Canis lupus familiaris: one gene and its partners. The protein of the gene in region 2 interacts with the protein of the main gene of each other region in a pairwise test. Links are inferred from orthologs where the notes say so. Each region holds a gene or a part of one and is shown on either strand. Other genes may lie near its edges. The genes, in order: ZBTB44, SMYD1 and FAM204A.

Region 1 (4,172 bases), on a different chromosome or scaffold from region 2:
GCCCTGGAAAGTGATGGTGTAATAAAGCGAGACTCAAGGTTATGCAAAGAATAGGCCTATTGGTGGGAACAGCTCCAGGTGCCCCCGTGTTGGGGGGGGGATGAGGCAGATCTGGGTGTTGATTTCTCCACTCATTTCAGAACCGCACTTCCTGCCAGATCGCCCAGGGAGATGCTAGAACGCTCTCCGAGCCCTGCAAGGATGCCAGTCCGGAGGCGGTTCGCGGGCCCGGTGGTCCGCGAGCACAGCGATGGCGTCCCGCACGTGTCCGGCCACGCGTCTTCGCGGGCCTCAGTTTCCCCGTGTGAAAAATGGGCGGAGCGCAGGCTCACCTCCCTCACCCAGAGAAACGGGGCTGGGTGTTCCGGTTTCGGCCCCGCTACAAAAAAACCACTCGAGAAACGAGGAGTTTCTTTCGTTTTCAGTTCAAAGAAAGAAAAAAAAAAGGGAAGGAAAAAAAAAAAAAAAGCAAGAAGCGTGAACATGCCCAGAAATGCGTCCGTTAGGGACGCCCGGGTGGCTCAGCGGTTGAGCACCTGCCTTCGGCCCAGGGCGTGACCCTGGAGTCCCGGGATCGAGCCCCGCACTGGGCTCCCTGCGTGGAGCCTGCTTCTCCCTCTGCCTGCGTCTCTGACGACCAAATAAATAAAATATTAAAAAAAGGAAGCAATGCCTCCGTTAGTGTAAGCGCGGAGGGGCTGGCGGAGAGGGCGCCGAGCGGAAGGCCGCGTGCACACGCACAGACACCGGCGCGCACACGCCCGCGGGAGGGGAGAGCCGGGCCCGCCGGCCGCCGCTCCGGCCCGGGCAGGGGCAGCGGCAACGCGAGCGGGAGCGGGAGCGGGAGCGGGAGCCGGAGCGGGAGCGGCCTCCGCGGCGCCTGCGCACTGGCCGCGCCCGCCCCGCCCCCACCGCGCCGGCGCCCCGCCCCCGGCTCGCCCCGCCCCGCCCACTCCCCTCGCGGTCCCAGCCCGGCCGCCCGCGCACGGCATTGTGGGACACAAACAAAGTGCCCCCGAGCAGGCTGGAGCGAGCGGAGCGGCAGCGGCCGCGGCGCCGGCCCCCTCCCGGCCGCCCCCTCCCCTCCCCTCACTCCCCTTCCCTCCCCCGCCCCGCCCCGCCGGGCGCCCGCGAGCCGCCGCCGCCGGCCCTCCCGCCGGGCGCCCCGGGGGCTGCGCCGCCGCCGCCGCCGCCGCCTCGCGCTCGCGCCCCTCGCGGGCACGCCATGCCCCGGCCGCAGGCCGCCCACGGGCCCGGGCGCGGCGGCCCCAGGTAGGGGCCCCCGGCTCCCGGGGAGGAGAGAGGCGGCGGGCCCGCGCTCCGCCCCCTCCCCCCGGGCCGCCGCCGCCGCCGCCGCCGCCGCCGCCTCAGCCTGGCGGGGAGGAGGAGCAGCAGGCCTCCGGGCCCCGGCGCCGCCGCCCCCAGGTACCGGGGAGGGGGAGGGGGAGGGGGAGGGGGGGAAGGAGGGAGGGAGGGGAGGGGGCGGGAGGTGCGCCCCCCGCCCGGCCGCGCCGCGGGACGCAGAGCCCCGGCTCGCGGGCCCCCTCGGCGGCGTCCGCTCCTGCAGGGAGGAGACCAGCCGGGGGGGGCGGCTAGGAGCAGTGTCCCCGCTCGGCCGGGGCGCCCCCTAACCCGCGGGGGCGGCGGAGTCACCTGCTCTCACCTGGCGAGCCCCAGACCTGCCCCCCACACACACCCACATCCACCTCCCTCCCCCCCCCCCGCTGCAAAGAAAAGGATGGCACTCTTGGGGGAAAAAAAAAAAAAAAAAGAATAACAACAAACACCCCTTTTCCTTCCCTACCTGAGGATCACCGCATAGCTAGTCGCTTTCTGCCGGCCTAGCCAAGGAGGGGGGGGAGAAGGGGTGGGGAGTTCCCTGCAGGTGAAACTGGCACGTCCAGCACAGGTGATGCGAGGGGCTCTGCGTGCGGCTCCCACCCGGAATCTTCATTGTGCACTCGATTGGAACTTGAAGGAATGAAGACAAAAACTTAAGTTGTTTGTGGGTTTTTTGTTTTTTGTTTTTTTCCCCTTTTACACCGTATAAGTAGATTGAATCTGTTGAGGTCAGGAAGAAATGGTTTCCCACTTGTTCTCTTACAGGTTGGTGTGTTGGGACATAGACTGGTAATACCCTAAACGCACTAATCGGTGTGGTAAGAGGGCAGATAGTCTGGCCAGGTAAAAAATTTCTGATTCCCATTGGCCTGGGCTTGGAGTTAGAATTATTGGGTTTAAGAAAATAATGATCATAAAAAGAAGCACCATACAAATCTTCACTTCCCTCATTGCTTCGCATTGCCAGTGCATTAATAATATTTCATTGTGCCTAGTGGAGTTTCCTTATCACGCAATGTGAAAATCACCAAAGGAATGTTTTTTTCCCGTAGCCTTTTGTGTTTTTTTTAGGACGATAGCACTCATCGATTGCGGAAACCAGATTTACTTATTTTGTGCAACACAGGCATCTCGCATATGTGGTCTTATTTAATTCTCAGAGCAACCTGATGACTTAGACGTTATTCCTTGAATTTTGTCTAGGTGAACAGATCACACAGCTAGAAGTGAAATCTGTACCCAGATAGAATTCCAAGGTGGGTAATGTTTCTGCCTTGCCGCTCAGCACAGGGACACTTTTATTACGAAAGATTTGTCTCATGAAATTGAGAAATAATGAATATTTCACTATGTAGATGGAGTGAGTAAGGTTGTTCCCCCTCACTCCTCCCTTTTAGTGTCTCTCTTTAACCATTTGAAAGTAAGTTGCAAACATGGGGACCCTCGACTAATTTCAGCATGCATTTCCTAAAAATAAAGGACATACTTCTCCTCAACGTCATCATCTACACCTTTCTAAATTAATCCATATGCAAATTTCCTCTTTATTCTAAAATCTCCTTGAGAAAATTTACCCCTTCTGTATTCACTTGAGATTATTGCATTTGACCATTATGCCTTTAGTCCCCTTTTAAAAATAATACCCATCACCTTTTTTTTCCTGACACTTACTTGACCCAACCACTTGTCTTTTAGAATGCTCCCACATTCTAGACTTGTCTATTTCCTCATAGTGATATTTAATTTATTCCCCTAGCTCCTTGACTTTTCTGTTACTGGAAGTTAGATCTAAGGAAAAACTTGATTAGCTTGAGGTAGTAACTTTATTTGGCAAGAATATTGAATAGGTGATACTGTGTACTTCTCATTGCTTCATGAACAGGTATATAATGTCAGATTGCTACACTGTTGGTAATGCCAAATGACCACTGAAGCGGTGACTACCAAATCGGCTGTAAGAGTTTGTTTTACCCTTTGATTTGTATGTGATCTTGGGATAATACTTTGACACCAAGCAAATATCTTGTTTCTGGCTACTTTCTGTTTAGTGATTTTAGCACTCTTTGGTGACTCTTGATTAAACCAGTTTTACTGGAGATTTTCTGTAAAAAAGATTTCCTTCATTAACTAGGGGTAAGCTGAAGTTCCTCCTAAACAATGCAGAGTAAATGCTTAATTTCTTCCCTTTGATTATCAATATTCAGAGAAAGGATTGGAGAAATAGTTACCTTCAATGGTGGCAAATGAGATTTTTTTCTTGGTTTTTTTTTTTTTTTTTTTTTTTTGCAGGATACACTATAGACTCATGGGTTTTAATGTATTTATTCTTTTTTTTTTTTAATGACCATTACAGTAATTTTCTTTTTGACCAGATTGTCCCAGATTTGAATAGTAGGAACCCTTTCAACCTGGCTCCTATGTCTTGTTGTTGTTGTTGTTGTTGTTGTTAAATACTTCTGCTTGCTATTGGAGCATTCTTGGAGTACTTTCTGGCACAACATACCCTAGGCTTACCATGTTACTTTCTTTGCTCTATATCTGGAATGGAGTCTGGATCTAAGGAGTCTTGGTTTGGTTTTTTTTTTTTGTTTGTTTTTTTTGTTTTTGTTTTTGTTTTTAATAAGAAATGGTATATAAAAACCAAGATCAGGATGTTGACATACTCATTTGCTGCTGGAGTGTCATTGCTTCAAGGCCCTTTCAGAGGAGAGAACTAAAAAATGGGTTTTTGCTTGTTTGTTGAATCATAAGTTCATAGTGATATATCAAATTCAGATTTAACATAGCAGACCTTTCATTAACTTTTTTAAAAAATATTTTATTTATGAGAG
Region 2 (3,527 bases):
GCAGGCTCCCTGCAGGAGCCTGATGCGGGACTTGATCCTGGACTCTGGGATCACTACCTGAGCTGAAGGCAGCCACCCAACTGCTGAGCCACCCAGGCATCCTGCTTTTTTTTTTTTTTTAAGATTTTATTTATTTATTCATGAGAGACAGAGAGAGAGGGAGGCAGAGACACAAGCAGGGTCCATGCAGGGAGCCTGATGTGGGACTTGAGCCCAGGATTACACCCTGGGCTGAAGGCAGGTGCCAAACCGCTGAGCCACTCAGGTGTCCCAATGCTTTGGGTTTTCTTACGGCTAAGTCCACCTTGATTTCAAGGGCTTGGAAAGGTATGTCCCCCTAGCAGTTAGCACAGGCAATCCTGCAACCTTTCTTTTATTAAAATAAAATAAAATAAAAATAAATAAAAGAAGTGTCAGGCATCTTTGCTTACAAAATGCAAAGCCCTTCGCCTTCCATGTCTATATTGGCATGTGACTTTGTATCTTTGGCTCTTTGGCCAAAAGAGTAAGTTGGTACAAGCAGGCTCTTTTTTACTTTTTTTTTTTTTTTTTTTTTTTTTTAGAGAACATTACTCATATATAAAAGTCAGGAAAACTGTACAATATGCAGAAGGAAGCTCTGTTAGGAGCTATTCTCAAGGAGATGAGAATACAGTTCTGTCCCAAGAAGGACATTGAAGTTCTTTTTATTCCCCTGAACTTCTGCTTTCCAGGAAGAGGGCTGGGGTGTTCCCGAGAGCTCCCAGCTTCCTGTTATCTTGCAGGGTCCTCTGACTCTTTTGCCCATGATGACTAGGCTTACTGGCCCAGGGCAGAGTCTCACTCCCACAGGCTCACCCTGGGGAGTGTTTGGTAATTCCTCCCTTTCTCTGTGGCTCAGTTTCTGCTCCATGGGCTGCAGATGCCTCAGCACTGGTGGGAGAGCAGATGGACCAAGTCAGTAAGGGTACTTGGTAAGTCGTCAGATGCTGTGCAAATGTAAGGAAAGTTGGGATTATCTGTTACAATGATTTGCTATGTCCTCACAGGAAGCTCTACCACCCCAATAATGCCCAACTGGGCATGGCCGTGATGCGGGCAGGGCTGACCAACTGGCATGCTGGTAACATTGAGGTGGGGCATGGGATGATCTGTAAAGCCTATGCCATTCTCCTGGTGACCCATGGACCCTCCCACCCCATCACCAAGGACTTAGAGGCAAGTAGCATTTCAGAGCTGGGCCTCCTTTTCTGGTCTAAGCTCTCTCTAAGGGTGGGAGCTGGATTCCAGTTTCTGCTTTTGCAAAGTCCACAGATTACCCACTGAACCAGAAGGGAATTCAGAAATGCTTTAGTCCACTCCCCTTGTTTTACATCTGAGCAAACTAAGGCCCTGGGAAGGGGAGTAACCTGTCTATAGTCACATAGTGAATGGATGGCACAGCTGAGGTTTGAAGTCTGAGATGCTCCAAGTATGGATGGAGAAAGCCTACCCAGCAATGTGGGTGCAGCCATGTACATTAGATGTGCTTTGTAGAGTGGAGCTGGGGAGCACAGGCTCTGGAATCAGACTACTGGGATTGAACTCCAGATTCACTACTCTCCAGCTGTGTGAGTGCAAACACGGAATATGTGGGCCTGAGTCTCCTTATCAGTAAAATGGAGAAAAGGGATAGAGCTGTGATAAGGGTTCAGTGAGTTAATGTGTGAAAAGCACTCAGAACAGTGCCTAGCAAGTAGCATGCTCTTTATAATTGCTGGCTTCCTTTGTGCTTTGAAGGGCATTGTTTATTTGAGGGTGACAGGGTTCAAAGGACTGTACTCAGGCAGTATGGTACAGGGAAAGAGGACAGACTTTGTTGTCATAAAGTGTCTGAGAAGACTGACTTTATGCCTAGTATATCATTCACTGCTGTATTCTCAATTCATCAATGATGACTGGCCCTTGAGAAATATTTCTTGAATAGAAATATGGGTGCATGGGGATTTTCCTAGGTGTCACACACTATGATCTTTCTGGTCTGTTATGAAGTATTAAGGAATCTCACCCATTTATGTGTGAGGAAACTGAGCACTAAAGGGATTGTCACTGGCCTAAAGTCCCACAATGTTAGTTGGGACCTATGTGTGTGTGATCCAGGATTCAAATCCAGTTCCTGCAAACAAACATTCTCTGCTGAGAACAGTCCCTTGAGCTCCTCTCTCAGGGGTCTGACTCCCTCTCCCTAACAAACCAAGCCCAGTCCCAGGACATTGAGGCCCCTAGAGGATGAGTATGTGTGTGTGTCAGTGTGTATAAGTGTGTGTCCGTGTGTCCTCTCAGTGGATACAGCTGAATCTCAGTAACTAGGAGTTATTTGCTCCATTGTCTGCCCTTTTGAAAAGAGCCAAGGAAGATCAGAAGCCAGTATGTCCCAGTGGCCTGTCATCACTGTTTATGGTGTGTCTGTGTCCCACAGGCTATGCGGGTGCAGACGGAGATGGAGCTGCGCATGTTCCGCCAGAATGAGTTCATGTACCACAAGATGCGTGAGGCTGCCCTGAACAACCAGCCCATGCAGGTCATGGCCGAGCCCAGCAATGAGCCAGCGCCAGCTCTGTTCCATAAGAAGCAATGAGGACCTGTCTGGTGGTGGGCTGGGCACCATGGCTGGAGAATTGGGGAGACATTTGGGTTTGGGGGAAGTTGGAGTTGGTGGGTTTGGGGGAAGACCCTTGATGAGGAAGGCCGGATAATGTTCACTCTTGTGGCTGTGGGAATGCACTGTTCTGTGTTCCTCAGTTCATTTTGATTCATTTAAACTCAGTTCAACTTAATTGAACTCTATCCCAGCCCAGCCTAGCCCAACTTATCCTACAAATATTTATGGGGTGGAACACCCTAGGGATAAAGAAGCTTCAAATGTAGCGGGGGAAGCAAAATGTAAACAATTAAACAAGCTTAATAAATGCAATGGTAAACTATATGGGGGCTTCAGTGGAGGGCATGTGTCTGGTATGTGGCGCATGTGCATGTGTGTGTATGTGTGATGCATTGGGAAGGATGTCATGGAAGAGATTACGTTTGAGCTGAGGGTGGCAGGTGCCTGAAATCTCAAGTGGCTGCTCACCTATCTGTGCAGGTCTCTCTGGGGCTGCTGGTCTTACTCATGGTCTGGAATACTCAGGTCTTATGTGACTAGGATTGGTGATACCCAGTTTCCTCAGGTTAGTGTGGGGTTATGAAGAAGGGGCCATGTTCAGGCCATTTAGGTTCTACTCAGAGAATCAAAACCCCTTAGTAAATATGAGAATGAGATGAATATGCACAAAGAGGTAGGGCTTTGCCCTTAGCCACTTGAGGCTTCATTTTAGGGTCTGGATTCCAAGTGTTCTGAAACTATTTCTAAAACACACAGGAGTGTCTCCTGCTCCCCACCCCCCACTGCCAAGCCCTGATTCCCTGTGATGTGGGTGTGACTTGGACAGTAACCGAGATTTTCCTGGCCATTGACCAACCAGGATTGAAGTCTTAGCGGGGTGAAGCTGAGAGAGAAACTTGGAAACACC
Region 3 (4,444 bases), on a different chromosome or scaffold from region 2:
CTGGCATATAATATACCTTTAGGCTCATTTTCTATTTCAGAACTTAAGAACACCAACAGATTTCAGATTCAGCTTCCTTAGCAAAGTGGGGGTTCTGTTTTAAACCATGGTTTCTTTTCCCTGTCCATAACATCTTGCGCATGGCCACTGTGTGCCAGGCACTCTTTTAAGACATGGGGACAGGCAAAAATATCTAACTTCATAAAGCCAACATTCTACACACATGGCAAGCGTCTCTGTCCAGCAGCAGCCAAATAGCTCTCCACCCAGACTTCAATTGTGACTGCTAATGAAAAGCATGCACCTCTCTGATGGGCACAGTTCTCCTGCTAGAGCACTGCTTCAATACCCCTATAGAGTGTGTCTATGCTCTGGCCACTCAAATGTGCTTCACCCTGGGGAGCACTCTCGGTTGCCCTGGAGTTGCCTTTCTCCATCACCTCTCAAGCATCTTTTTATTTTTTTACTATTTTTTTCAAGCATCTTTTTAATCACATTCTAGACCTTCCCCAAATCATCTATTTTTAGCTCTCGTTGCTGTGACATTTAGCTGTTCAGTATGACATTGGCTGGTAGAATAATTTCTTGTGGGTGCACATGGGAAAAAGAAAAATTAAAATAAATTTTAGAAAGTAGATCCAAATCCATAAAATAAGGCAAAATTCAGACAACACATTTCTGAACTCAATTCCCGAACATCTTTAAAGTGATATGCCATTCTCCTGTGATTCTAAATACAAACACACACACACACAGGGACAACTCCATGGCCACTGATAAACAAAGATAACTCACTGGGGGAGCCTGCAAAGTGGAGCTGCCCACGTGAGCAGCAACTCAACTGTAAATCAGCCAATATCAAGTGGCTGCTTTATGACTTGCTTTGGGCTCACGTTTGGAAACACTGTCTTTGAATTCACAGTATATATATGTCACGCATACATTTCCAGTCGTACCATGGTACCAACTATGGTACTAGGTTAGGCCTGGCGCTCACTCCTGTTTTGGCTGCTATTAAGGATGATTGTCTAATTCTCTGAAATGTCTCTCACCCCATGCCTTTATTCTAAAGCAAATCATCCCAAATTACCCTTTAAATCTGAAAATTACTCAGCCATTCTCAAGGGATGTGATATACCAGTCAGATGCAATACTGATTAAACCCCAATACCCCAGTGGATAAGGCTTCTCTCCTCAATCCTGCCACCACAGCCAAGATTTCTAGTTTTCAGTAAGACTACATGTCAGACCAAACACCTGAAAGATGCTCTAAAGAAAGCAAAGGAGACCCCTGTTATACAGAAAAAAAAAAAAGAACCAGAAAGAAAAACAAAGCAAGTCAATGCTATATATGGCATATAAACAATGTCACAAACCATGTAACAGAAATTCTTTTACCATGAATCCCCATAACTCTTCCACTAGAAATTACTATCTACAGCCCTTTTACAGGAGAGGGAACTGACTTGCCTAACGCACTGTGACTGTGATCTGCTTATTTTACAAAAACAGAACTCTATGGGCTTCGACTTAGAAACTTTTAGAGGATGCAATTTAAGTAGCAATATATTCTTGGAGACAAAGATTTGAGGGTGGATCTGAAATGACTCTAGCTTGTAATTTTGTTAAAATCTGCTTAATCTTTTTTTTTTTTTTTTTTTTACTTTCTAAAAAGCCGAAAGTCATGTTAAGATGCTATACGAAAACGTATACATAAAAACCACATTCAGAGGTTTGGGTAATAACGTCACCATTTTCTGGAAGATCAAGGCCACTGCTTATAACCAAACCCAACCTGAGTCATTTAGTCTCCTGTCTCTGATATTCCACAATTCCAATTCCACTTTCACTATACGAAGCGGTCTTATTTCCCATACTTTCGCCTTCGACTAGAATCATCACAGAAACCTGAGTTTGGTCTGATGTGAATTTAATTCTAACTTGCATAATAATCTTATAAACCACCGCCCGGCAATCCTGTGAAATGATTTACACAACAATCAGTCTCCGTGACTTGGAACTACTTCACTTTTGACGAAGCACGTTATCATCAACATTCGCGTCCATGTCCTGTTCATGAAGTGTGTTCTCTTTTTCTCAAAAAAAAAAAAAAGGTAAAAACTACGAGACTGAATCAGAGGCCTGACCTCCAGTTTAAGTTCCGCCGTCCGATTCTCCGGACCCGTTCGGCAGGATTTTGTACGTGTGCACAGGTTTCGATGCGATGCAAGTACGTGTTCGGTCAAGGCCTGGAAAGACCCTGCGCGGAGAGACTTACAGTTGACCGGGAACACCTCGAGGCTCATTTTAGGTCGGATGCCGCCGTGACAGTACTTCCTGCGGGGCTGCCCGTCCCGGAGCCCGGAGCCCGAGCGGGACACGCCCGGCCCGGCCCGGCCCCACCACCAAGCGCCGCACAGTCAGGGCGGGACGTCGGGCCCGCGGCCGGTCCCAGCGACCGCAGCCGTCCACACGAGCCTGCTTCCCCCCCGCCCTGGAGCCTCCTCGCCGTCTCACTCTGGCCAGGCCGGGACGGCGAGCCCCTCTCCCCGCAACAGGCTCGGGAAGACGCTGAGACGTCCCTTCCCAGCAAAGAGGGCGGGGGGGGGGGGGGGGGCAGCCTCACCGACGCTCCCGTGAGCCCAGCCGGGGGGGCTTCGCTGGCTCGCCCGTGAGGCTGCGAGGCCGCCCACACTTGCCCCCTCGCTCCCCGCACCCGGCCCTCCCGGACCCGTCAGGTCGGAGACTCGGAGCGACCGGGAAGCGGCCTCCCCATCAGCCGTACTCACCCGTCGGGAGCCGGCCGCCCGGCAGCCATCTTAAGACCCAGCCAACACCGCGCCTCCCCATTGGCTCCGGCTTCTCAGCCAATGGGCTGCGGCCGTTCTGGCCTCGGGTCGTCATGGCAACCGGCCGCGCTTCGCTCCGCTTTCGGATGTGTCTGCAGCGGCGGATTCGTTTCTTTCTGCTTCTTTTCCTTCACCGTTTCCTCCCTTTTCTTCTGGACCTTTTTTAAAGGCTTTGGTTTCCCCCCACCCACCCCACCCCCCATTCCCTGCTGCTCGCTGCTGTTGAGGATGAGGAAAGTGCTGGCTTAGCCCTTGACCTGAGTTCATTTCCCCCAAGGAGGGGAAGTTCGATGTAGATGCTCTCCAGGCTCTTCTGGGAACATTTCCATTCATTCATCCTTTTCCCTCCTCCCTCCCTTCCTTTTTCTTCCTCCTGTACATAATTATTGACCAGGCACCCTGCCAGAAACAGCCCGGACTCCTGCTCTCCTGGTGCTAACCAGCTGCTGCACTGACCAGATGTGGGGCCTTGTCTAAAAAGCTCATCGAACCCCTTTTCTGTGACTGCCACTGGTTCAGGCCCCCGGGCAGGACTTGGGGGAGCATAGAAAATAAGTAAGGAAAAAGAAACTAGAAAAAAAAAAGTGCTATGAAGAATATAAAGCAGGATAATGTGATAGTGATGAGAGAGCAGGCTATTTTTAGAAATGCTTCTATTTTCTGAAATCGTGCTCTGTAATAATGATAAGACTAAAAATACTTTCCTATTTTTTTAAGTATACTATTTTCCAGTTCGTGAGGATGATAAAATACACATAAAGTCCTTAACATAATGCCTAGACCACAGTGATTTTGTCTTAGCTATACTCTAAAAATGTGAAAGAGTTTTGCATTGCACTCTAATATATCATGATTTAGTGTAAACAGATGTTTAAGCTTACTAGGTAACTATTCATTACCTCACCCTCAGTGTGTCCCAGAAGGATATGCCAGGTTTATGGAGTAGTTTTCTGTAAGCCCAGAATCATAATAGAACCTGAATTGACAACCTTGGGTCACTCAAGTCCTTCATGCTGACCTTCTCAGGTTCTAGAATAGAAACAGGTCTGAGGGCACCTGGGTGGCTCAGTGGTTGAGCATCAGCCTTTGGCTCAGGTGATCCTGAAGTCCTGGGATCGAGTCCCACACCAGGCTCCCTGCATGGAGCCTGCTTCTCCTTCTGCCTGTGTTTCTGCCTCTCTCTCTGTGTGTCTCTCATGGATAAATAAATCTTGAAAAAAAAAAAAAAAAAGCAGGTCTGAGTGATTTCAGGATCTGTGTGAAACTCTCTTGGCCAATTGTGTCCAGCTTCTCAATAGGATTTTTCCCCAATCCAAATCTTTTTTTTTTTTTAAAGATTTTATTTATTCATGAGAGATACAGAGAGAGAGAGGCAGAGATACAGGCAGAGAGAGAAAAAGGCTCCATGCAGGCAGCCCAATGTGGGAATCTATCTTGGGACTCCAGGATCACACCCTGGGCGGAAGGCAGACGCCCAACCACCGAGCCACCCAGGGGTCCCCCAATCCAAATCTTTAACAAGTTAGGCAGTTAAAGAAAGGATGTGTATAAAAGTGCCGCTATGGCTGTTGCATTTGGGCCTCTTAGTTACTGTC

What was found.
Region 1: the proteins of SMYD1 (region 2) and ZBTB44 interact in binary tests that used the Homo sapiens proteins (3 or more experiments, as listed by UniProt). The link is inferred for Canis lupus familiaris from reciprocal best matches to the Homo sapiens genes SMYD1 and ZBTB44.
Region 3: the proteins of SMYD1 (region 2) and FAM204A interact in binary tests that used the Homo sapiens proteins (3 or more experiments, as listed by UniProt). The link is inferred for Canis lupus familiaris from reciprocal best matches to the Homo sapiens genes SMYD1 and FAM204A.

The regions. Positions count from the first base shown.
Region 1 is NC_049226.1:4,603,130-4,607,301, forward strand, and holds the start of ZBTB44 (zinc finger and BTB domain-containing protein 44), read left to right. Parts: upstream 1-1,331; 5' UTR 1,332-1,425; intron 1,426-2,544; exon of another isoform or gene 2,545-2,597; intron 2,598-4,172. UniProt on the Homo sapiens protein: May be involved in transcriptional regulation.
Region 2 is NC_049238.1:38,543,785-38,547,311, reverse strand, and holds the end of SMYD1 (histone-lysine N-methyltransferase SMYD1), read left to right. Parts: intron 1-1,028; coding exon 1,029-1,197; intron 1,198-2,437; coding exon 2,438-2,596; 3' UTR 2,597-2,944; downstream 2,945-3,527. UniProt on the Homo sapiens protein: Methylates histone H3 at 'Lys-4' (H3K4me), seems able to perform both mono-, di-, and trimethylation. Acts as a transcriptional repressor. Essential for cardiomyocyte differentiation and cardiac morphogenesis.
Region 3 is NC_049249.1:29,028,247-29,032,690, forward strand, and holds the start of FAM204A (protein FAM204A), read right to left. Parts: upstream 2,931-4,444; 5' UTR 2,905-2,930; coding exon 2,790-2,904; exon of another isoform or gene 2,740-2,789; intron 2,261-2,739; exon of another isoform or gene 2,148-2,260; intron 1-2,147.